3 linked regions of the Drosophila melanogaster genome follow. The protein of the gene in region 1 interacts with the protein of each later gene in a pairwise test. Each region holds a gene or a part of one and is shown on either strand. Other genes may lie near its edges.

The links. The genes of interacting proteins can lie anywhere in the genome.
Region 2: the proteins of CG4328 (region 1) and CG12661 interact in a two-hybrid assay, tested with the Drosophila melanogaster proteins (one large-scale study listed by BioGRID).
Region 3: the proteins of CG4328 (region 1) and caup interact in a two-hybrid assay, tested with the Drosophila melanogaster proteins (one large-scale study listed by BioGRID).

What each region holds. Positions count from the first base shown.
Region 1 is NT_037436.4:12,288,340-12,299,411, forward strand, and holds CG4328 (uncharacterized protein), read right to left. Parts: upstream 7,785-11,072; 5' UTR 7,532-7,784; coding exon 7,495-7,531; intron 4,629-7,494; coding exon 3,911-4,628; intron 3,759-3,910; coding exon 3,544-3,758; intron 3,488-3,543; coding exon 3,300-3,487; intron 3,232-3,299; coding exon 2,961-3,231; intron 2,903-2,960; coding exon 2,697-2,902; 3' UTR 2,617-2,696; downstream 1-2,616.
Region 2 is NC_004354.4:8,921,037-8,927,648, forward strand, and holds CG12661 (uncharacterized protein), read right to left. Parts: upstream 2,652-6,612; 5' UTR 2,583-2,651; coding exon 2,187-2,582; 3' UTR 1,852-2,186; downstream 1-1,851. Other genes in the region: CG43255 (uncharacterized protein), read left to right, coding at 2,931-3,338.
Region 3 is NT_037436.4:12,606,010-12,613,981, reverse strand, and holds the start of caup (caupolican), read right to left. Parts: upstream 4,352-7,972; 5' UTR 3,214-4,351; coding exon 3,163-3,213; intron 1-3,162. UniProt on the Drosophila melanogaster protein: Controls proneural and vein forming genes. Positive transcriptional controller of ac-sc (achaete-scute). May act as an activator that interacts with the transcriptional complex assembled on the ac and sc promoters and participates in transcription initiation.

The DNA of each region.
Region 1 (11,072 bases):
CACAAGTGACTTCTTCGAACTGGTTTGGTCAGGAAAAGGCCAACGAGTGGAGTGACATCTGCTGCTCGACAATTTGTGCAGCCCTCTGCGGTGGGAAGTTCGTGTTCATGGGCACCGATTTACATAATTATAAGTGAAAAGTTTGCGACGAAAAATCTGCGTTTTCCTCGGTTTCCCATCGAAATAGTTTCACCAACTGCTGGTATTACAGTGCGGACTTTACTCACCTTTTTCGAATTGCGAGTGGATGTTTTTCAAGAAAATTCAATAAGCTTATAATATTAATAAATTAAATGGGTGGACACTTAAATCAGATACATCAATATCTATTGTGCCCAAACTACAATCGTTCATTCAGTTTGCCCAAAATTGATTTGCCATATCAATCGTCTAATGTTTTTGCCATTTATTTGGCAAATATCAATCCACATAGATTTTCCTACCTCAATATCGCATTTTAGCCTTTGTCAACACATGCGTCCTATGAAAATAAAAGCAAATGCACATTTATTTACCCGACATCCATATTGTTTATTATGCGATTTGCCACTCTTTGTGAACTGAGTATTGTGATGGTCTTTTATGGGAACGCAAAATTGATTTTTGATTTTTATTGTTTACATAAAATGCTGACGGCAAGTATTACGAGCTGGAAATTCATAAGTACCGTATAAAAAAGTAACTTTTGTCAACGTTTTTTTTAGAACTGATTCAATTTTGAAAGCATTTCCCTGGCTGATTTTCCCATAAAAGTCATTTTGCAATTTGAGGGACATTTTAGGGGACACCAAACTGGCGTTTGGTTTGGTGTTTGCTAAATTTAAAAAGAAATCATCTTTCGATTGCAAATTCAAAATTGAGTGGCTTTGTTTAATACTTAGGTTATTCTTTATAGTCAATTCTTTAAGAATAAATAAGTATTGATATAAAATAACGAAAAAGTATAGTAGTAGAAATCCTGAATGTAGTCATTGCCAAGTTATTTATTTTAGGAATATTGAAATCCATGAAAAAAGTGCCCTCTCAAGTGAAAGAGCATTTGAATAACTTTACCATCCATAGCAGTCACAGTAATTAATTGTGTAATTCACACATTAACGAGCGGAAAAGGATCATTCAGCGGAGGAGCACGTGGTTGAAGGTGGTGCAAGTGGTGCTCTCAATGGCAAAAGGACACTGCAGAAAGGACTTCCAGGACATCGCTTCGTCATTCTCGAGGGCAGTTTTTTCGGAATGCGCAATGCACTTGTTTGGCCTTGTCCGCTTTTGATTAATGATGCGGACACTGAATCTCTTTTTTACGGCCACAGTTAATGCGTGTATCTGCAAACGACTTACACGGATATCCTGCAAGGGAAATGGGGTGCGTGCAGATTCCTCGCCGATGATGATGGTGGTAGTGGTGATAGTGGTGGTGGTGGTGGCAGTTGGCTCAACGGTGGTTGAGTCCCGGCTCTTTGTTTGCCCACTTTTTCAGCGACCCCTACCACAAACATCCCCTTCGAGGACCGTAAGGATATCCTTGGCCGTATCGGTGTCGCGATTGGGGTTTAATCTGGTTAGCGGCCCTGACGACGATGACGACATCCGGGGAGGAGGCACAAAAACCGGATACCCGGCGAGACGGTGACGTTTAAGCACAATTGCTGTGGCTAATGTGACACATATTGTGACAAATTGCACAAACTTGTACGGAACTTGGCGGAGTGACGGGGTCCTTGTTCCTTCCGCGACGGGGTTGGATTCATCCGGAGTTGTGTAAACACGTGTTGCAGTTCCTCGTAAATCAATTAGCCACCGATTGTCCAAGTGTTTTCCATTCGAGTTCCTAAATTCGGAATCGGCCTAGTCTCGGAAGGATAACAATTATGCAAAAGCTTGCTATTCAGTGTTTGATTGCTATGAGGTGTTCGTCTGAACACAATTGGATCGATTTACAAAACAAATCAACTTGAATTTCATAATTATTTATAGTTTAGCTTTTTCAAGGATTTTATATAAATATTTTAGTAGGATAATGAAATGAATTTTCTCCTCTGCTTTCAAAAACCATATTATATTTAATATAATATAATATTGTTTTTCGGCAAAAAAGTTGTTTGTTAAAAAGCATTTTTTATAGTTTGGTTTTCTATGCCTTTGAAAGCTTAAGGATTTACCACCCAATTTGTCTTAGATTTTGGGTTTGGGACATTCCGATGCAGTTCTTCCGCTCAAGCAAAACGAAAGGCCAGGATGCTAGTTAAAAGTGCTGTCCTTGGGCGGCATTTGCAGCACATTCATGTCGACGCTATCAAACGGCTCGTCATCGTGGGGAGGATACGGTTCCGGATCCCTTCGTATCCGAGCCTTTGAACTACGCATGACGAATCGGCATTTTACGCCCATTCCGAGCCGAAAGGACGAATTCAGCAGGGTTGCGACTGCTGTGGCAAATGCTTTGTGCCTGTCAACCGAGCGGAACTAATTTCGAGACTGCACCTGCAGAGCCACCAACATGGGATGCACCAACCACCAACCCGGCCGGTGGGTGGATTGCGCAAGTGGTCCAGCTTCCAAGGGGGGTGGAAGGGCAGTAAATCCACTTATCCGGGTTCGGGGTGTTTAAGTTCGATTGCTAGCACATTAACATTCTTTTATTTTACAAGGTCTAATTTTGATTTGGGCTTAAAATTCGACGGCCTTCGCCGGGCGGACTAGTGATCCATGGAGTCCTTGACGCCGCATTCGCCGTAGGATTGCAGCTCCTCCGGCCGGAAGTAGGAGCTTTGCATACTATATAGTCGGTCGATCGGATTGATCATAGGCGTCTGGGCAAAGGGACCCATTAGTTGCTGAAAGGTGGCGTAGCTCAGACCTAGAATGGTGTTCAATATGGGCTCGCTGTTCTTGTTGCAGTTCTCTGTAAATTGTATTTTATATTCCTTGATACGTAAATATCCTTAAAGGGCATAACCCACCTTTATTGGTCTCCATACAGTTGAAGGGCACTTGCTCCTGTTCGTCCTTAATGGTGCATCGCATCCGGGTCAGTCCATCGGAGGTCGTCGAGTACGGCGATTCCAGCTGTGATTCGCTGTCGCTGTGCGCCTCGTCCTTGATTTTGGTGGCCAGACTGCTGTCCAGCGATTCCTGCGAGTCCTGCGAGTCACTAGCTCCTTTGCTGGGCGGCTCCTGCTTGGCCTTCTTCTGAATCTTTTTGACCTTGGCTCGCTGGTTCTGGAACCAAACCTACAAAATACGATATTGGTTTAATAGAATATGTAATGATTAAATTCCATTTAAACCTCTTTACGCACCTGCACAATTCTCAGGCTTAATCCAGTATCCTTGGCCAGATTCTCTCTCACTTTTCGACACGGTTTCGGTGAGACTTCGAAGGAGGCCTTAAAAGCTCGTCTTTGCTGCGTGTTTAGAATGGTTCTCGGTCGCTTGGGTCCTCTTCGTCCGTCTAATTTGGGCGGGAAAAGCTCATCGCCATAGAAATCTACATAGTTATATGGTTATCATTGGGAACCGATTTCGAATAGGGCCATTACCCACCGTATCCCTGTAGCATCTCCACCTCCTTCTCGTAGTCGAAGCGGCAGAAGAGCTGCCCCTGTTTGACCACATACTGCTCCCCCTTCTTCAGCAGAGCTCCACACACCACACAGGCGAAGCACTTTAGATGGAAGACGTTCTCGTGGCATCGCATCACCAGCTCATCGGCGGCGATTTTAAGGCCACAGCCAAGGCAATGATTGCGGATGTAGAGTCTGTGGAGCGAAAATATAAATATATATCATATCATTCAAATATTAAGCTGTACCATTTAATAAACACTACCATTTTAAAGTAAGTGCAACTCACACGGAGTTGATTGTTTTAAGCGCCCCCCGTTTGGCAGGGTTCAGTAATCAGGACTCACCTCTCGTAGTCGACGCGGCAGTAGAGTTTGCCCTCCCTCGCATAACAGGAGTGGACCAGGTGCAGCGAGCAGGCGGTGCACTTGAGGCAGCCCTCGTGGAAGGAGTTCTCCACCACGCGCATGATGTAGCGATCGCAAATGGGCTGGCAGCAGTGGGCGCACTGGCTCAGCTGCGGCGATGCCATGGCCAGGCCCAGTTCCATGCCCATGCCGGAATTGGAGGCCATTCCCAGAGGCGCTTGCGGTGTGTTGGATGCCGATGGAGGTGCTGCCGGCGTTGCAAAGCCGTCCATTCCATTGAGGCTGCACTCGCCCAAAGTGATGCGGTTGCAGTGTGTATGGTTGGGTGGTCCTGGACCATGTCCTGTTCCTGTTCCCATTCCGGTTCCTGTGCCCGGTCCCATGCCCATCGGTTGCTTGTTTATGGCCATGTTGCTGCTGCTGTTGGTGCTGCTACTGCTGCTGCTGTTGCTGCTGTTGTGGTTACTGCAACTTCCGTTGACAGTTCTGCTGACTGACGCCATTTTGTCATTGTGGGCTACTCCGGCTTTGGTACTCGCACTCCTTCCGGCTGCCACCACCACCGATGTTGCTGCTGTCGTTGGTGTTGTTAACATGCGTTCATTTCCGTTCAACAGCAGCAGTTGATTGAGGCCCCCAGTTTGCGGCAGTTGGCCAGCACCCAGTTGCTGCTGTTGACATTTTATGTCCATCGGAACTATTTTGGTTTTGCGGTCGTGTCGTTGGTCCAGATCAGCCCACCGCCCCAAAGGAACATGCAAATGAGAAACATTTCAGTTATTTTTATTTTCAATGTGGCCAAGAGCGCCCTCAATTTACAACTATGGTTCGGTCATCAGGCATAAAAAGGGTTCCCGTTTTTGCGGGCAGGACCAATGTCCATCTGCCTCGCACTGTGACCATAACCGTTTCGAGTTGTAGTAAATTTGTGGTTTTGCAATTATTGAAATGACTTTTCCACCAACGGAAAGAGTGTGAGTAAATGTGCGAGTGTGAGTGCGACTGCACTCGAAATTCCCCGAAATGCCATGCGAAATGTGGCATGTAAAAAATACGACCAACGTGGCGTATGCGTAACCGATGCGTATGTGCGATTGTTTGGCTTGGTGGCAAAAAATTACTGTACATTTGCGGTGCTGACTGGTTGGCTTTTTGTGCCTTGTTGTCTCAATTTATGGCAAATTGTTGAAATTTCAACGTAATTTGTTTCGAGCTTCCAGCTTTTGTGCTCCTCTGTGTGTGTGTGACGTTCATTTTGTTTGGTTTTTCCCTTGTTTTCACTGGTGTGCGTTTCACATGCGTGTGTGTTTGTCATTCCGCATTTGAGTGATTTAAATGTGTGCGTAATTTCATTAAATGTTTTGCAAAAATAATATCTGGTATGCCAATTTATGCCAGAAATATGCCCAGAATGTTAAAGTATTCCAGCCATCGTTTACATTAACAATTTTTGCTACACCTCTTGCACTGATTGACGTGAATTGCTCTAGACCAGCTTGCACTCAGTTTGTTCTGCCAAATGACAAATAAATGCGAAAATAGTCGATTGCAGCTCTCAGTACATTTAATTGGACTGCATTTAATTGCCATTTGGATATAGAAAAACTATGCAGAAAAATAGCTGGGAAAATGGGAATCAAATAGTGTTTTGTCAACCAATTAAGCGATTTGTAAAATAGTCAGCAAATATTTTTGTGACTTCAGTACTCTAAATGAAATTCAATATAGTTTTTGGTTGATTTATACAAAACCACCGCAATATAAAACCTGCAGAAACAATTTAGCTTTGCTCTATCTAAAAACATTTAGAAATTAAGCTGAAAACTTGTTCTTTGAATTATTTTGTAACTTTTGGCATTAGCATTATATATATTTTTTTAAAGCATTTTTTGAGTTTTCACCTTTATATACAATTCTTTTTATATATTTAATAATGAATTAAACTTCATTTATGTGTAACAAAATATTGCTGACATGTGTGCTATGTTCGTTGGGTGTATTTTGGCTTTATAAACTTTTCAATATGCTACTTATTCATAGCAACTGAAGTCTCCAGCAGTGTTTAACCCAATTTCCAAGGTCCTGATCTCCCCATTCCCGATACCCATTAACTTGTGACACTTGGAACTGCGGGAAGCTATTTCCTAAGATGTGCAGCGGAATAATCCGCTCAACAACCACACCTGTTACACTTTTAGTGCTCTGTCATTGCCATTTGACATTTGAAAATATACCAACATGTTTGCCGGACATGTCGGAGAATAGAGCTCGAGGATTTTGGGACGACAAGTGTAAAGCCGACATTGATAGCACTTCCACTTGCCCACGCTCTAATTAGATTCTAATGTGCAGTGGAAATCGAGGGACGGGTTGCAAATGCCACCCCTTGCAGTGCTCATAACTATGTAGATTATAAACGAATTTCAATGAATCCGGGGGCTAACCGAGGGCATTTAGCTGGCGGATTTCCACCCTTACGGAAAATATGCTCGGGCTTAGCAAATAAGCATGAGGATGAGGCTGGAGGGGATCAGGATTTCGGTTACGGCGGCTGGCGGCTGGCTGCTGGCGGCATATGTTGGCAGTCGACGACAGTGAGTGGGTAAGCGGAAACCCTTGGAAATGCTTGCCAGGATGTCGGCTGCGCTGCCAGGATGCTGTGTGCTGCCTCCGAATCCGCTGTCAGTTGCCAGCAGTTCGCTCGGCAGCAACTGACAGCGCTTTATTTAATCGGATTTGAGTAGACAATAGAGTTATGGTGCCATTGCCGTTTTGTTGTGCCAGCAATCGCAGCGCAAATGCTTTGTTTTGTCCTAATCTCTGACAGAAGTCAAAATTTGCTTTGCTCTGGAAAATATGTTGTAATTTTCATTGGCTTTCAGCCAGTCGGATTCGAGTGGACGTGTGTGCAGTCGGTCATATGCATACTTGCCACTCTGGGTGCTAAATAGCATTCACTGAAGGCAAATTGAAGCAAAAGTGTTGAGATGCAATGTTTAAACTTGGGATTTGCTTTGTGCGAAGTAGAATTTAGCAAGAAAATGGCAAATTTTCACAAATAATTCATCTTTGGTTTCTAATAATTTCATGTGCAAAACTTATTTATGCTGCTATTAAGTTAGTATTTTTAAAACCAATTCAACTGAATAAAATTTGTATAAAATGTGCTGATCTCTTTGACTGTTATAAATCAAAATCACTAATGGCCAAAACGAAAATCCACTTTATACCTTTGAAAAGTGTGCAATTGTGATATCACAATTACCGATATAACACATGATACATGGTGGCTTATTCCTAATTCACTTATCTAAAGGTATTTGATTTGAGCTAATCACTTGATGCTAATATTTAAACTATGATTAAACTAGAGAAAAAGTGAATGAAATATATGCACTCTTCTACTTGAAGCTATTTACATACCATAAATTAATGAGCACTTTTTAACATAATTAATAAACTGATAGAAAAATGCCGACGGGATTGGGAATGTTGGGCTTGTAATGCCGTCGGTTATTGGAATAGATTCAGACTTCATATTCCTCGGGTTTGCCCATACTTACACATTCCGATCTGCATGGGATGGTGTTCGTCGATCATTTTGGAATCGTTCAGTTCGGGAATAGAAAAACTATATAATCACGTTCACAGACATTTATGAAATTTTCTCAGGGCTTTTCACGCGATTTTCCTACGTATCTTTGCACATTTTGTGAGCACAGCTTTCAGGACGCCTAAGGACACATTTGGGGACTCGAAATGCAGTTGGCAACTGTTGTTTTGGGGCGGCCAGTATCGGACTTCTGACCTGGCCCTGTTACGAAACGCGATGCTTGAATGATTACGGACCTCTGATGTTAATGAAATTTGTTAAAAATCATTTGCTCTTCTTTGGCCAAATGCACAAGCATCTGCTGCCGAGATAGGAAATTCTCTCCAACCCGAAGGAGAAGTGCCCACTGTTTGCCTTTGTGTGTGTGTGCGTGTGCGCCATTTTATGGCACATCCTGTGCTCCCATATCCTTTTTGGCTCCATCCCCGTGCAAGCCATTGAGAGCCAGCCATTTGCCTTTCCCCAGCTTCCGTGAGATTCGCCAGCTTTTGGCGCATGCGTCGATCGGAACCCCCATATCATACCATCTCATCTCATCTCATGCGTTTTAATGCCGATTTTGAATCCGGGTGGCGCTTCTGAGTTGTTTTGGCTTTTTGTGTTTTGCTGGTTTTGTTGTTGTTGTTGTTGTTTGATTTTTCATTTTGCACTTTTGACTTTTGTCTTTGTCTTTGCTCGTGGGCACATTTATTTGTTTTGTTGTACGTACGTATTTTGTATTGACAAAAGGATGTTTGGCTCGGCGATTTCTTGCTTGCTTTGTCGCCTCAGCAACAACATCCCCGCCCCCCCAAAAAAAAACAGGACTCTCCCTCAATGGCTGGAATTTTGTTGTCCTTCTTTTCTTATTTTTATTTTTACCGTGTGTGTGTGTGTTTGTGAGCTGGCTAGGATTTTATTCCCTTTTCCCGCAGTGGCTTGTACATTTTAAATTTATTGATTTTCGAACGCTATAAAAAGGACTAAGCTTAAAGACCAGTCCCGCTGCTTTAATTAAGGTTTGCGGCCCAGTGTCCAGGAGAATTTTGCTCAAAGAGCTAGCTGTTAATGAGGGTGGCCGGTGGCCCTTTAAACCTGGCCAAAATGAATTTTCTGGTCTATTAAACCGGGGCGCCAAAAACTTTAATGTCTAAGCACTTTGCCGGCTGACTGTATGTCTAGCTTCCAGTTCAGAGTTCCCAGTACCCAGTTGCCGAGATGAGGACTTGTCTGGTCGAAACTCCTGGCTCTTGGCCTCTTTTCCGACGAAAATTCCCAGAAAAGTTTCGTAAACGCGAACGTGTTACTCACAATTAGTGTGCGGGCGAACCATTTAACTGGCAACCAACCAGCCATCTTTCGCTTTCCCAGCCCACTTTTCCCAACTCCGACGATGATAATAGTTATGTGCGGTAATCTTTGCGATTCATAATCAGTACACGGAGCACGGGGATGTGCAGGGAATTTAAAGGACAATGGAGCTACATTAAATGCTTGATCCTGGGGGATTTTGCGATGGGTACTTCTTTTGTTGTGCTTCTTTTATATCAGGTAGGAAACATGTAATTTCTTAATAAAGGAGTGACAATAAATGTTGGCATTTGTTTAACTAAGTGCCAAAAACAATTGCTAAGTAATGCAAGATTTAAAAATACATTTTTATAAAAAATTGTAAGATCATTTAAACTGTATTGTGTAATTCATAATAATTTATTTTGTAATTATTAATAATTGTTATTTTGTTTAATTTGTTCATTTACTAACTGTTAACCTTATATATTTTTAGTTGGCACCTTAAACGATATCTATGTGTATTATGTTAAATCTTATAAATAATATTTATTGAACAATATTCTAAGAAATCTATATTTGTAGCTGATGATGATGAGTAATTGTTGCAGTTCTGTTGTGATGTTGTGATTTTGAAATTTTCATATACATTTCTCTCTCCTCCCTTCAGCTTCATCTCGCAAAGGCTTCCAAACTTTTGGCACTTTGTCTACGCAGAGCCTAGACATGGAAACTCAAGGGCGGCGGTTTTGGAGGCACCACCGCCTCCATCCCTGCATCCATCCATCTATTCCTCCATCCATCCCGAAATCCCGATGTCATCGCCTGTGAGGGGCCTTTAGATCGCATACCACTCGACACTTGCAGTTGGGCCCTGCTAATGACAAAGATTAATTTGGGTCACTGTGTTTCCGACGGCATTCCGATATTGGGGCCATTTGCGAGGGATCCGGTTGAATTGACTGAACAATGGGGGTCAGAGGGCACAAACTACACATACATATGCATGTATGTATGGATATTATGCGCGTGCCTTTTGTATGAGTGAGTAGTGTGCAGCCAAAGTGCATATGTGTGTGTGGGTGTGTGTGTAGGGAATTTGGCGGCGTGCAGCGGAAACTGAAATTGTTCGGGGTTAATTAAACACGACATGTGTGGCATTGCGTGCATTTGTCGGCGGGGTGGGGCGATCCCGACCCGCAAGTGTGAACTGCAAAATGGGGGTCAGGCGCTAATCAATGCGCCATAATAGACAAATGACCCAACGGCCTGGCTTTGAGTTCATTATGTTCGAATTGCCGCCGTGCCGATGCGTTTATGAAGTCCCAATTCCACTGGCACTCGCTATTTTGGTGACCAGATAGCGTCATCAGTTCATCAATAATGGGCAGCAGATCCATAATTAGCACGCCAATGGGGGGACATTTTTCTTCCAGTGCTTGTCTATTTTTATATACAAGGGATTATAAAAGAACAATCCGTTAAATATAATACTCAAATAATATTCAGATATGTCTTAATGCCTAACATCGGGTGCAATTCATATTAGAGTTATACATTTCATTACTTACATTTCAGTAATTTACTTCAAATTGAATTTACTAAATGGTAACATTTAAATAAATAACCATATTTAAACTACCCAAAACTAAACATTTACTTACAACTCTGCAAACACGACATTACAGATATTAAACCTCATGGATGCAGAAATTATATTTATTCAGATTAAATAAATAGCGATTTAATTCAGGGAATAAAAGTATAATTTATTTGACCATTTGACAGCAAAAAGCTTACACACAATTGACATAAACAAATTGTGAATATTTTCCGGTAAACTGTGCGCCACTAATGGCGTGATAAATTTCTGCGCCTCGGCTTTTCCGCTTTTCCCCGGCTGCATTTGTATGCAGGAAGAGCCTGGCCATAAATGTCCTCACATGGTGAAGGCACCACCCGCAGCTCCGGATCTGACCTGTTGAGCCAATCGGACCGACAGGGCCAAAAGGAACAAAAAAATAAGTGCACAAATATGTATTTATTTATATGGCCCAAGGAGGCGGCTCGGCAAACGCAGAATGAATAAAATATTTGGCATTACAAATTGTTGCGATTTTTTGTTTGGGGCCGAAAGGGATGCGGATTGCGGATGCTGTAAGCTCAGTGGGTGGTGGATGTGGGTGTGGCCATGTGGCAACAGAGTAACGCTGAATTATGCGTTGACCAGGACACAGAATGCGAGGAGCCAGGACCAAG
Region 2 (6,612 bases), on another chromosome or scaffold:
ATATAAAATAATCAATATTAAGCCATTGGTCATGTTCAAATGTGCTAAAAAATTACAAAAAATAGTCTTCGAATTCCAAGTAGTTTCCTAAAAACTCCTTAATATTCATCAAGAGCTCGCCAATTTTCTGAAGTTACTGCTCAAGAAAAAGTAACAAAAAGCCAATCCGATTTTGGGCGTTCAATGTGGCTCCTTCTAATCGCATTTCATTTTTTTCTGTGAGAAATGATTCATTGTTCTCGTTGAATGCAGGTAATAATATTTTTTTTTTTTTGTATTATCCTCCATGGACATTTGTTTTTTTTGTTTCCATTGAGCCGGGGAAACCCCGCCTGCGTTTTCTTTCTGATTTGTTTGATTGCTGTTGCTGTTGTTTTTTTGTGTTTTTTGTTGTTATTTTTGTGTTTGTTGGTGGTGCAATTGCTGGTACGATACGACTGGCAGACAATAAAGAGCATTTCATTTGAATAATGCGAAAACATTTTGCTAGACGCCCGCTGCCATTGTCTAGCAGCCCATAATTTCCACCCAAAACGCCAAACGCCCAACGATGCCTGCCTCTTGTGCTCTTTAAACTGCTCAACTGACATGCCGATTGCTTTTGTCTGCACACCTATATCTGTCAAATACACCTCCGTACACTCGAGTCTGATTGCCCCTTGATGGACAGGACAGGAGAGTTCAGCTCAGCTCAGCTCAGTTCAGTTCAGTTCAGTTCAGTTCAGGGGGCGGCAGTGGGTATATTTGGTCATCGGAAATTGTCGATGGGTGGATAGCACAGTCACAGTCCGTTGTCCTGACTTTATGTTCCCCTTGGACTGATGAAACTTTAACTGGGGAAACTCCACATAGAATTGCAATACAAAGCTGATTATCGGTAGTATCGATACGTTTGATATTTGCTTGTCGATAGACATGAAATATAGATCAAATATGGCTGACCTAATTACTTCCTCATTTAAGTAACTAAATGGTCCCGTCAATTGAATGAACAGTTCACTATTTCGTTTCTTTTGTCTTAAACTATGAAAATCGATTATTTCGATAAGTGTACAGTTTTCACAATTGGTTATCGATTGCTCAGGCAGGCAGACGCAACGCTGACCAATTTCCACGGTAATTGCAGCGCACTCATTGACGGACAGGTCGTAGATGCCTTTTTCAAATAATGTCTACTTCGTTGCCTTGCTTCGAACCAATTTGAAGACCTCCTTGTTTCTCCTTGCCGTTTCCTTCCTCTGCTGCAATTGTGCGCCGTTTTTGGCGCCCAAACTTTGGTGTGCCTCGCCTGAAAGTATGCCACATTGCCCGTGACGAGGAGATTATTGCTATTGTCGTATCAATTGGAGTACACCCCAACAGCCTAGCAAGGAAGCTAGGAACTGCAGCTGTGGTCAATGCTGACCCTCGGACTAGAGTCAAAAGAAGACTCAAGCGACACCACCCTCATGACCTCCCTAACCTGGTTTTGACCTAGAAAGTCTTAGTTTTAAAATTCATTAGAATAATCAAATAAATAATAATTACTATGTTATATCAACTATTATAATTCTCCCTATCATTTTTAGGATTAAAAATCTGTTAGTCTTAAGTAACCAAGACACATTGTAAAATAAAATAATTTAAGCAGATCAAATTAAGTTGCCGCATGGGTAACAGTGCGTTGATCAAATAATAAAAACATCATCGTAATGGAAAAAAAAAAAAAAAAAAAAAAAAATCAATTGGTAGCATTTACATGCGGCGCGTTTTTCTCTATGTTGCTGAATAAATCACAGACCATACGAAACATGTTCGTATGAATAATTTGTGGACTGTATTGCTTTTGGGCCATTATCCTTCGATGGAATGAGGTCTCGTAATTGCTTTATAAAAAGCATGTTTTTGGGTCACCAAAAATTGCAGCATAATCGATTAAATTAGTAAATAAATCAATAAACATTTCCTCGGCCGATTGGCGACTGGTGTTAGATTACTAATTGCCGTTTGGCATTAATTAAGTCGCTATTTAGCAATTAAGAGGTGTTTGATGGCATTTAAGGAAATCGGTGGTTCACAGTCCATGATATTTTTTAAATGAATTTTTGAATAATAAATATAATATAAAATAATATAAATTAAGACATTTTTGTTTAAATCCAACGAATATAATTTTAATTAAATCAAACCATAAGTGTTCTGTTTTGCTAAACACCTTTCTCCAGGGTATCTCGCATAGCCCTAAACATTTCGGGCAACAATCCCACATGGCTATCCACGCAGTTGCTGGTGCAACGTTCCAAGCTATAATCGGATCCATTGAGGCGGCACTGCTGGATGCACTTCTCTAGGCGATTCTCAAAATCGGATATACCCTGCTGTACGAAGCAGCGTGATCGGGTCAAACGGATTTGGCAGCGATCGATGCACCGCTCCACCGCCTCCGCATTCGCGTCCGCATCCGCACAACAGGCGGTCGCACATCTGTGCATCTCGATCTGCAATTTGCGCAGATAATCCCGATCCAGATCCTCCATGGCGGTTAGGATTGCATTGTCAACGCGTTCTCGCTTCTCCTCCAAACTCGAATTGTCACAATCCATCTCGAGTAGTATAAAATTTATGGAAAATATAAAAGTCGGTTGGTAATTTTCGTTTGACTGCCCTTATTTGAGTTACGCAAAACGCAATGCTACTTTGGTTTTGTAATAATTTCTTCAATTTAAATAATATATGAGCAGGAAATGGGCGACTCGCAGTGTTAAGTAAGTTAGGTCATGTTCTTGACTCTTCTTGGGCAAATTTTTAAACTAAAGTCACGGCATTGACATAACTCAGTGTGAAGCTATCTCTAATTGAGTTTGAGTTAATTTGTTTTTTGCTGATAAGTGCACTACTGAAAGTGTATATAAGTAGAAGTTGGACAACGTGGCCGTGCATAGTTTTTAAAAATGCATTACTTGCATATCTTTGGGCTCTTGGTCTTTTTGGCCGCTTTTGGATTAAGCCTTGAACGTCGTGATAAGGAATTCTACGGGATATCTAAGGAGCAGCTAACGACTACTAAACATAAAGAGAATTCTGTGGAATTTGTACAACACAAGATATCCTTGAAGCTGCCGCAGAGATACAACCGATTCAAACGTCAGTCCTTTACGCCATTTGAAAGGCGTGTGATACGTTTACTACGTAAATTGGGCTTATTAAAAAGCGATGCTGAACAACTGTTGGATACTCTCGAAAAGGACAAGGATCTATTACGAAGATTGAAGAAGTTACTCGACGAGGTCGACACCGAACATGAGACCAATGATTTCCTTGAAGATTTCTTCGATTTAATATTTTTCAAAAAAATATAAGCAGCTTTCTTCCTGTTGTTAGGAATGATATTGATCGATAACAATATTGCCGATTATACCGATAATTAATGCCATAAAATCGTTTATTTAAATTGTTTTAGATATTGCAAACAATCTGATTGCTAATAGCTAACAATATCATTACGATAATCGTTTGGATTATTCTAATCCCTTACTTCCTCCATCGCCCTCACACGCCATCACTCTCTCTCTCTCTCTCTCTCTCTCGATAATTATCGATAGTTTGGGCACTTGTGTTGGACCAACTTAAAACACCGCACAAATGATTGCCATAAATTTGATGGCAACAAACAGCGACAACAAAAACAAAGAGTAGCGCTGCCGCCCGCACTTTCTCCGCAGTTCTCGCCATTTCTCCGCTCTACTTTCTCCGCTCCTCTCTCCACTCAATAATGTGCCAACTGTTGAGTTTCCTTCCGCTTCCGAATGCGAGCGCGAAAGAGAGAGAGCGAGAGCGAGAGAGGGTGTGAGACAGAGACGGGGCGAGCGGGAGTATGTGGGCGTTGGGCGGCAAAGGGTGAGGGAGTGAGAACGATACGGCCACTCGCTCGCTTGCTCGCTCTCGCTCTCTCTCTCTCCCTCCCTCCCTCTCTCCCTCTCGCTCTCTCGCCGGCATCGAAGGCTGCTTACAGGTGTTTATAGTACTTCGGCTTTTGCCGACCACAGCCGAAGTTGCCGGCCGATTGCTGGCCTCTCGCTCGCTCCCGCGCTTATGCTCAATAGCGCCCTCTCGCTCCCGGTCGCTTTATATTCCTGGCAATGCGTCGCCTTCGCATCAGTTTCATTTGAACGGTCGACGAGGCGCGTTGTTCTAGAAATAAATAACTCATTTAAATAGCAGAACAGCCCAAGCAGGCCAAACATTTCAAAGCAAAATACCAAAACTCTCTGGAACTACCAAGTTCTTAAAAAAAAACACCAACATCGCCCAAAACACAACAAAAACATCGCATACCATAAGAAAAACATAAACATACTGAAAAACTTACAATATCTAAATATAAAGTAACTATTTTTTTGATTGTGCTTCTAAGTGTTGTGCTAAACCAATATTAACTTGTACAAATATTCGAAAATATTCAAAGATATTCCAAAGTATTTATTCAATACTTGAAATATAAGCTACGATACAAACTTAAAACTTAAAACTATGTAAGACTAAGATCTAGTTTTTGTGCTTTTTGAATCCTAACTGTTAACGTGTAAAAGCACGCAAAAATGTGCACGAAATTTTGACTTGATTCGAACGACTGAAAAGTGCGTTCCATTGTAAAGAAAAACTAAAGCGGCAAACCGAAACGGTAAATATGAATATACTTATTGAAATTCATTGAAAAATTTCCTTGGAAAATTTGTTGATTAATTTCGTGATGTGAGAGTTTATTTGCCGTGTGTGATTGTGAGCAGCGTGTTTGTATTGTGATTTTTCGGAAATGTTTTTATATTTAGTCTTCAAATGGGGATTCCCAGATTTATTTAAAGTTTCAGCTACAATTTTTGGCAAATATTCGTAGTTTTAGGAAAAGCTCCACAGAATATTGTATTGTATGCTTCAGTTAATAGAATCACGCATGGAAATTATCAAGAATTCGGTTCTCAGCTTGTTGTGTTGAATTTGATGAGTTTTTTTGGAATATCATAAAATATAATCGGATTTTATAGTTTACAAAGAGTTTCAAAATTCCACAGATGTAAAATAGTTGACTCGAATTGCTTGAATATATTAATATATCTTAGTTTAAAGCAGTAATTTTTTAAAAATTATTTAAAGCTCGAGCTCTTTTTAGGCTCCACAAATATGTGTGCAACAATGTGTAATTTTGAATAAAATTCCGTGGAATGCCCTTTGCTTTTCATTCTGTATAAATTCAATTACCAACATTCTCATTGTCTCAGAGTATCCCCCTACTTTCGAATGTCTGTGTGTCAATAAGATGATTTAATGAAAAATCGTCTGCAATTTCGGTTCGAAATTCGGCAAAAACACGGCGAAACAAACTCGTTACGCATACGCCGTGTGGGCAATTGTATTAAACGATGCCATTCATTGAAAATTGCTGGCCAAAGCGAGCGGTTTAGGTTTTTTTTAGGCCACTCCGGTTAAGGATTTGGGTGTGCTCTTGTCGGCCAGCCAGTCTCGTTAGCCGAACTTGTTGCCACATTCGCATCCGCACTGGCATCCGCAACGACATCCGCACACGCATCCTTCGTGTACGTGTCCTTTTGCTAATCGGTGCGTTTAAGGAACTGCATGCTGGAGGATGTTGCAGCTCTTGTATTGGCGCGTGACCGGCTTTTCTCTGACATAAGAGCGCGAAATGGCGAAAATAACGTAATGGCGAAAGGCGGCACTCTGTGCGGTTGGCAATCTTTGATTTCGCATTTCCCCGGTAACAGGGGAAAATGTCAGACAACGTGGCGTATACGTGGCATTTGTGTTTGTGCTTCCGCTCGTTTGTTGTCCTCAAGTTTGCATTCAACGACGAAGGCACTTCGTCGCGGTAACCAAGTGTAAATATACAATTTAAATTTCTCTAAGGAAACTTTAAATTTATATATTTTTTTTTTAATCAATACGAAGAATTTACATTTTAAATCACCAAAGTATAAACATGAATGAAGCCTGCACATATTTGTAATAATAAATGTGTGCGCTTTGAAATGGTTTAAAGATTTTTGTTTTAGGCGACTTTGTTTGTTTCTGAAATAAAGAAATTGCTACCCATTTGTCTTGCGTACATATAAAAACGCGATGTTTCAATTGTTGATCCACAATTTTTTGTTTGCTCTTGTTTGCTTCGCTTCACATAAAATATTCAATTTTCATTTCTTGTCGCTTTTTTTTTATTCGTGACCCAGGGGTTGGGTTCGCATATAAAATCCAATAAAAATACACATAAAAATTGAAAACAAAATACAAAAAAAAGAAGAAAAAAAAAAAAACAGAAAAGAGAATGAAAATGGTCGAAAGATACCGCGGGCTATTTGACAGCAACGAGGGGGAAACACGTATGCATCGCATTTTGATTGCAGATTGTATATCCATTTGTAAGGGTGTTTCCTTTGCCAAAAGCACCGTGTTAATTAATAGAAATTGCCATTTGAACAATTTTTGGGAATTTCAATATCGAATGGAATTGCATTGCAAACCAAACCAATTACCAACCAGTGTGGTAATTTATTCACCATTTTTTACCCCCACAAAAATTTCCACAATCAATCATTGTTGTGTGTGGCAGTTTAGGTAGCTCAA
Region 3 (7,972 bases), 320 kb from region 1:
GGCCAAGATGTTGGTGGAGCTGGTGCCGTCACTTTACGGTTATTAATTTTATGATTTATGTTAAAGCTCACGAGTCCGCCTACCAACTCCTGCCTACCCCCCTCCCACCCATTGCCAATTCACGAACGCACGAGTACGATATGGTTAGGATGGTATGGTATGGTATGGTTTGGTATGGTATGGGATGGCATGGGATGGCACGGTATGGGATAGTCAAGACAAAGGAGATCGGCATTGTTGTGGTTATTGGGTGCTGCTGTTGTTTCTGCTACCGCTGGAGATGCGTTTATGGATTTGGTTTTTGCACTCCTAACAACAACGACGATTGTGAAACAAAAGCTATTGGCCTGGGCTTGGTTGGTTAGTTGGAGGGGCTTTCCTTCAGTTGGGCGGGTTGGGGGGTTGGCTTGACGCCAGGCCAGAACAATAAGCGAAAATATGAGAATCCCAGCTCGGCGACAAGGAAGCTGAAAATGCGAAGGAGTCCCTACAAACAAACACATGTTCGCATTCGAGTTCGCAGTCAGTCCTCCTCTTGGATTTGGCATATTCTCACATTCATCCGCAGGATTGCGTTGCCAAGCGAGTATGCCATATTCATACAGATACCCAGGCCCACTTTAAAGGGTGCACTGGGAAAAAATAATACTACAAAAAATCATATTAAATCCTGGACTACATAGCTGAAAGAGTTCAATAGTATGAAAAGTCTAACAATTCTCACTTTCTAGTTTCTAGATACATTTAACAACTGCTATTTTACTGAATAAATTAAGATAAAATCAATTGAATTTATTTAAATATCTATATAGAACTTGTAGAAACATTACTTAAACAAAAACCTTCCTGAATAAGAATTTTTAAAATGAATTAAATTTATGTAGAATTTATGTTTGTTATCTAAATAAAAGGTATGGATATAAGTTTTATGGTAGTGAACAGCTAAGTTTACCGATTTATGCTTCTATTTCGCTTCTATGTCATTAAAATAAATTTGAGAATAAGCCCCTACCAATTGCCCACATTTTTTCTCGCCGTGCATTGAATGGCCAAAGGGACTGGCTCCAAAGTGCGTTTTTGCTAATGCGAATAAGTTGCTCGGTTTTTTGTGGGGCTTGCTTATTGAATTAAGTTGGGGCGCAGAATACTATGGTTCGCAGTGGAACAACTCTTTCGCAACTCAACTGCGGTCTCAATGTTTGCATTAAAAATTCATAAATCAATTATGGAATGCACACTGCGAAATATTAGTTTTTTCTCGCATCATTTACGGGCTTGTCCTTTTGCGTCCCAATGGAGATGGAGATGGGGAATTTGGGGGGGCTTCAGATGGAGCCTATGTGAATCCAGGACTCGACATCGTCGCGCACTTTTTGCTGCCTTAGAATTTTAGTTATTTTGCCATGAAATGCGTGAACAGCTCGCATGGGAAGTTAAGAATTCGATGTGCGATGTGCCTGCAAGTTCTTTTGCTACTGCCAACTGTCAGCCGTTGATTAAATTTATATATTGTCGTTTTTTTTTATATTTGGAATGCCGTCTTGGCGTCGAAATTAAAATTAAATTAATGAGAACCCGAGTGTGTGCACTGCATAAATTTGGCACCCGAATGCCATATCAACTGACCAGTCTTTCATTGGTGGCTTAGTCGCATTTAGTGGCTTTTAGTGGCTTTAGTAGACGTATGCAAATGAGCCGAAAACGATGACAAAATTCTGTTGGCTCTTAATCGATTGCAAGGCAAAAGGCTTTTTGCACATCTCCAGCCATAATTATAGTCGATAATCTGAACGTTCATTATTTTAATTATTGTAATTTACCAAGTTTGCATATTATAATAAATGGTGCACCACTCCGCCGGCGGCTTCATTAGCATAAATTTATGCCAGCCACCGTGGTCAGGAATATTGTATACATACACACATATATACATATGTATATATATAAATGTACATAAATTGGCAGCAGGATAAACGCACTAGCATTGACGCATTTGACCACATAGTAGTCGTTGAACATGGCTTACACAGGCATTGCAAGGGCTTTGTAGCTGCAAGTGTTTCACTTCCCCCCGTTTGGGCCAACTAATTTGAATTACTGAGCTCCGAATACCGGGTAATTATGACCAGACCTCGGACGATGCACTGCCACCGGAATGCCCCACCAGACCCCCCCCTTCGGTTACCAGCGATTTGCATCCAAGGCGGTGACGGCTGTCCTAAATTGTGAAACATTTCTTGGCGGCGGGGCGGCCATTATGGCTATATCCGCATATATATATATATATCTATATATATATGTATGTATATATATAGGGATCCAGGAGCCCCAACCGGTGCCAAAGTGCTTGAATATTCATGTGCAGTGGCTGCTCCCCAAACCCGCCGGCTTAATATGTAAATTTAAAGTTATTTCGCACCGTCCATTATTAAAGATTTCCCTTTTCGCACATGCCAAAATATTCAACTGACTCAGTTTCTGGTTTTATGAAACATCTTTTGTGTGTGTGCCAAATATTATTTTAGTCCGCACTAAATAAATAGTATATTCAAGTGTCTCTTGAAATGATTAAGTTATGGCTGCATATTGAAATGGCACAGCTGTAAATCAAAATATAATAAATACATATAACGAAATTAATAAATTTAATTTCATGGCCAATATAAATTGTTATGACTAAGCCATCTGTTTTAAATTTAAATTTAAGGCACCCAGTAGCAATAATTCAGAAATTTGCTCTTTCAACTGGTTTTTCGCATTCTACTCAATTTAAATCAATGTATTTATAAATCTTCAGATTCTATTCACAATAATTATTGTAAGCAAAGTGCTCTTTATAATATGGTATTTATGGCCTTCAGTTTGAACACAAATTATGAGATTACAAAAAAAAATTTGGATAAGGTTTTTAATTGATTTGGAATTTGTTACTTTTAAAATTGAATATATTATTGACAAAATCTAAAGGGAGCAACATTTTCAAAGCAAATATAAATGTATATATAAGATACAATATTGGATCCATACTAAAAGATTCCTTAAAATTGTTGTCTGTGCTAAATAACCGTTTAAAACTTAAGTTAAGTTTGCTTACTAATCAATACAGACTTAAAAAAAACGGTTAACTGTTAATCTCTAAACAAACCACCGGCATAAACCCACCTGATTTGCCGTCGGGTAGCCAGCGTATCCAAACTGCGCATATGCAGCCATTGTCTCGCTGGCTGAGTTGGCCTAAAGAGCGGCGACACGCGAGTTCACTGTGCCGGGGCTTCACTGTGGGGCGTCCCTCGTTGTTTGCTTGTTGTTTTCTTATTTTTTTTTGCGATTGCGGATGCGGATGCTGGCGGAGCCCTCGAAAAAGGGGTGGCCAAGGATGTGGGGATGGTGTTGGGTGCTTAAGGGAGGTTCAAGTGGGTGGCCAGTGGGTGGTTGGGTTGGGTGGCTGGGCGGATTTGGCGTGCGTGCTCGACGGCTAAGCACTCTGGGCGCTTTTGTTGTTTGCTGGCTTGTTGGGTGTTGTGCTATTGTTGTTGTTGCTGCTGCTGGCTGGCCTTGTTGAAAATTGATAAAACAAATTGTCGATGTCGAGCAGTTCTGTTAATGTCGCCGGAGCCGGAAAATGTTTTGTTTGTTTTGTGTGACTTTGCTGTTTTATTTCGCTCGTCCGTTTTCATCCGTTTTAACTTGATTTTTATTGACTCTGTTTGACTCTTTGGCGGCCGGTTACCAAAATGGTTAAAAAAAGACACACACAGACGACAGCCGGGCAAAGCAAATTGGATTCAAGTGTTTGCCGCAAACAGATTTACAAATGTACGCGGCTCTTCAGTCTTCGGTCAAAAGAATGTGTCAGTTTGGTTTGCGAGTTTACCCACTGATTGGTATTTCAGTTTTTTCCACACTGTATCGAAATTTTTTAAAGTCAGCTTAGGAAACTTTTTGATATGTGATCCATAATAATAAACATAGTTTCGAATTTATGGCGAGTTTCTTTTGATATTTAACGAGACATTTCTAGAGAGGTTTGCCTGTCTTTTCGGGTCCCTTTTTTTCGTATTTACTTTTATCATAACTATTGCACGCACTTCATTATCTACGTCGGTTGCATCTGCCGATCCGATCCGCTGGCAATGCTCCAGTAAAAACGGGTTCCGTTCCAACCTGTCAGCGGTATCTCCACGGTGACGACGGCAGTGACTGCGACTCAATAACCGACTGTGACTTATCCGGTGACTGTAACTCGTTCGTCGGTACTTTCGTTTCGGCCTTTTTTCGAGTTTACTGGGCGACGCGGCGGAGATGCCAAGATGCGAAGATGCGCACCTATTCGCGTTTCGGAACAAACTGTTTTTCGGCCGCTCAGCGAGCAGCGCGGTTGCGTGTGACAGAGATGGCAGCAGCGATGTAAACGGGATGGCTGCAGGGCCGCGAGAGAGCCAGCCAGTTAGGAGCTCTCCCATTGGCCAGCGTTCCAATCAGACTGGCAGCCACGAGCAGCAGCCTTCTCGCTTGCACGTCTGTGAGTGGTCTGGTAACGAGTGAGAAGGGTAGACTCTCTGGGGCTGTTGTTGCTTTGTTCGTTGAGAACGCCCACCTCCAAGCACTGGAAAGTAAGTCGACGCTCTCTTTCTGCCGACCCCTCTCTGTCGACGTTGGAAGCGATTTCATGGCGGACCACGATCGAAAGGCTTCCCAATTGGATATTGTAGCCAAAGTTGGCTAAGAATTTTCCGATTTTGATAAAAAAGTACAATACAGAAATAATTGGAAAAACTAGAAAAGAGTTGCTGAAGATTTGCTATCATAATAACTGGTCAAAATACGTCTGGGCATACATTCGTGGGAAGAATTGGAACATTTTTCTACAATCTCAAAAAATCAAACATTAATTTAATTAATTAAATATAATGTTTAAGAAAATTTGCAGGCATATAAAGATATGTTTTTCAAGACGAGTGGGTATACAATCTCTTTAATATTGAGTAGTTTAGTGTTTTATTTGATCCGCTTCCAATTATTCTTTGAAATTTTAAAAGAGAATTTTCAATATTAAAATAACAAAAACATAAAACCTTTTTTATAAGCCCAGCTGAAATAAATATAATCTATGTCACATCAAACTACAAAAAATAACATACAGCAAACAAATATAAGCATGTTTTTATATTTTAATAAACATATTTGCTTTTCTATCTTGGCTCCCAATAAACAAAAAGTTTGATATTTTAATGTGCATTTAAATTTTGGGTGGTGTAAGGACTTGGAAAATCTAAAAAGTAATCAAATTAAATTATTTTAGAAGGTCTGCAAGTATATAAAGCCAAAATCTAATTTTATTTAAGAAAACTAATCCGTACGTTATTGGTAACATCAACAACATTTAATCATTACAGTGTGTGTGTGTTTTTTTAAAAATAGCTTGATATATGCATTGTACATTTCCCATAAAAGTGCTTAATGCTCCAATATCTCAAGGCCAAATCACGAAAATCGCAGCTAATTGGGACTAGCTAATCGTAACAAGATACCGAAATAGGAGAAAAAACAAACAAACAATCCGATTCCATTCGATCCAAGGAAGGGGGCGTGGCCGGTCCATTTGAGGGTCCTCGAGTCGAGTGCGTTCTAATTAATGGTATGTGGAGCGGGCGGGGTGGGGAGGGGAACTGAACGTTTTTGGGGAATTTTTGTAAAATGAGTATTTTGATGTTTTGGGGTGTTAACGCGCTGCCATTTATTATAAATGCGAGTGCATCTCAAAGTCAAAAGAGACGCACATGTGGCACTTTTTTCGGTACTTACAAACGAACGCATATGTAAATGTGTGTGTAGCAATGTGTCATTTGCATAGGAAAATGAAAATGCACCGGGTATTTTTGGGAAAAGTGTCCGAATGCCCAAACTCCTGATCGGTACTCAATTTCTGGACGCTCTTGGCGGCGCCACGAAATTCTACACCCACTTCATGAGTCTGGGGATCTGGAATACGAAAGGATTCACATGAAAGAAATGCATTTGAGAATAAAGAATTCATCCATGAAATTTAAAATGTATGCTTTTAAAAATTGAATTTCTAAAGAGCCAAATTGTGATTGGTTTAAAAGTTGCAAATAGTTATTCTTCAATTGAAAACAACATAAATGCAATCCAATCATACCAAAACGTTATGTAAAGTAATCATATATTAAAACAATTTCTGAATCATCAAATAAGCAGGACTATACTCGTGTAATTTTTTAAGTTTCGATATTTTGAAGATACACAAGATGAACATTTCAAATAATCTATATATAATTTATATTTAGCATAATTATAAGCTTATATTAAATAAATACTAAATGTTTAAGAAAATATGTAAAATGAGTATCATGCTAATTGGAGTATATTTTAATTGAATCGAATGTTTTCTGCAGTGTTTACCTCCTTGAATCAATATCTCTGAGTGATTTGTTTGATGACTTCGGACATGTGAACTGTGGCACATGTCGCATATCCTTGGGAGCACGTAGCCCGTGCCCATAAGTGTCCTGATCCCAGGATTCCCATTGTCTGAGCTCTGCTTTCATTTAGTGCAGCACACACACTCGAACATTGCTCACTCGGTGGACAGGACATGCAGATTATATTGAAAACAATTTAAATGTAGATTTTGGCGTTAAGAGATATTATTCTTCGACGCCAGGTGCGTTGGTTCAGAGACACTCGCACACACACTCCAACAAATTTAACTGCTAATGTGTGTGAGTGAATGGGTGGGCGTTGAGTGGGTGGAATGGATACAGTTGCACAGAGAGTTGCAGGCAGAATATTCACCACCCCACCTCCTTCCCCAGAAAGGCTTCTTACTTAAGTGTTGTTTCATGTCACCTGGAAAGCATTTGGACATGAAATTGTCGCTTTTCAGTATGTGGCACACACACAGATACTCACACATACAGTTTCCTCTCGGCGAAAAATCTTCTGCCGCACAGACACACACACACACAGACAGACACACATGCAAAGGCAAAAGGATAGTGCTTCTGGTGAATATAATAAAATCCTTTTCGCAAAACGATAAACGATAAAGTCACCGTAACAAGCACAAAAAGGATTCTCTCTCTCTTCATGCAAATTGCTTTAAATGAATTTGTTTTCGTTTGTGTTTTGGGTTTGCACACTTGGAGTTGGAAGTCCAGTTTAAGCCACGACTCCAAGGGGAGCCATGTTGGGTGTACTCAACACTAAAGATTCTGTTACAAATTGGCCATAGTCCTTGGGCATAATATTCTCCATTTTTGAGCCGGAAAACTCTATCGACAAATAGCCGGTGGGTGGGAGCTCCACTCACCACCAATCAGTGTTTGGCGTTATCAGCCATTCTAGATAAGAGTCACACTATCATCACCTGGCCATCTTATCGATGGCACTCGAAAATGAAATTGCTGATCAAACAGAACAGCAACACCAGCAAGAACAAACACATTCATAAATGGAAACATACTTATTTACTCACTTCTCAAAACAAATCAACAAATCGGTGCTCTTTGTGCCTCAAGTGCCGATCGCCCTCGGAGTCAAAAGCAACCGAATGGAATGGGAACGACTATAGCTATTGGAAATGGGAATGGGAATGGGAATGGGCATAGGTAGGGGAACCTTTCCTTCGAATTCTTTGCGCGTGCGTTCCCTTTTGTCGGCGTTTTGACATCGACATCCCATCCGCAGTCACGATTGATTGTCGTCGCAACAATTGACGTGATTCCGAATCTCCAATTGGTTTTCCGTAGCGCTACTCGGCTCCTCCGCTCCAGAAATATCGCTGCCCCGTTCGGCACGTGATAAGTCGGTTCGGTCTTAGTTAGCTAGATACATATACATATGGATGGTTTGTGGGGCCCTGGGCAATTATAAGTAGATGCTTTGTATGGACAGCTGTCCGTCCGTCGGTGGCATGCGTCACGACCGACATTGCCACATGCCCCTGGAC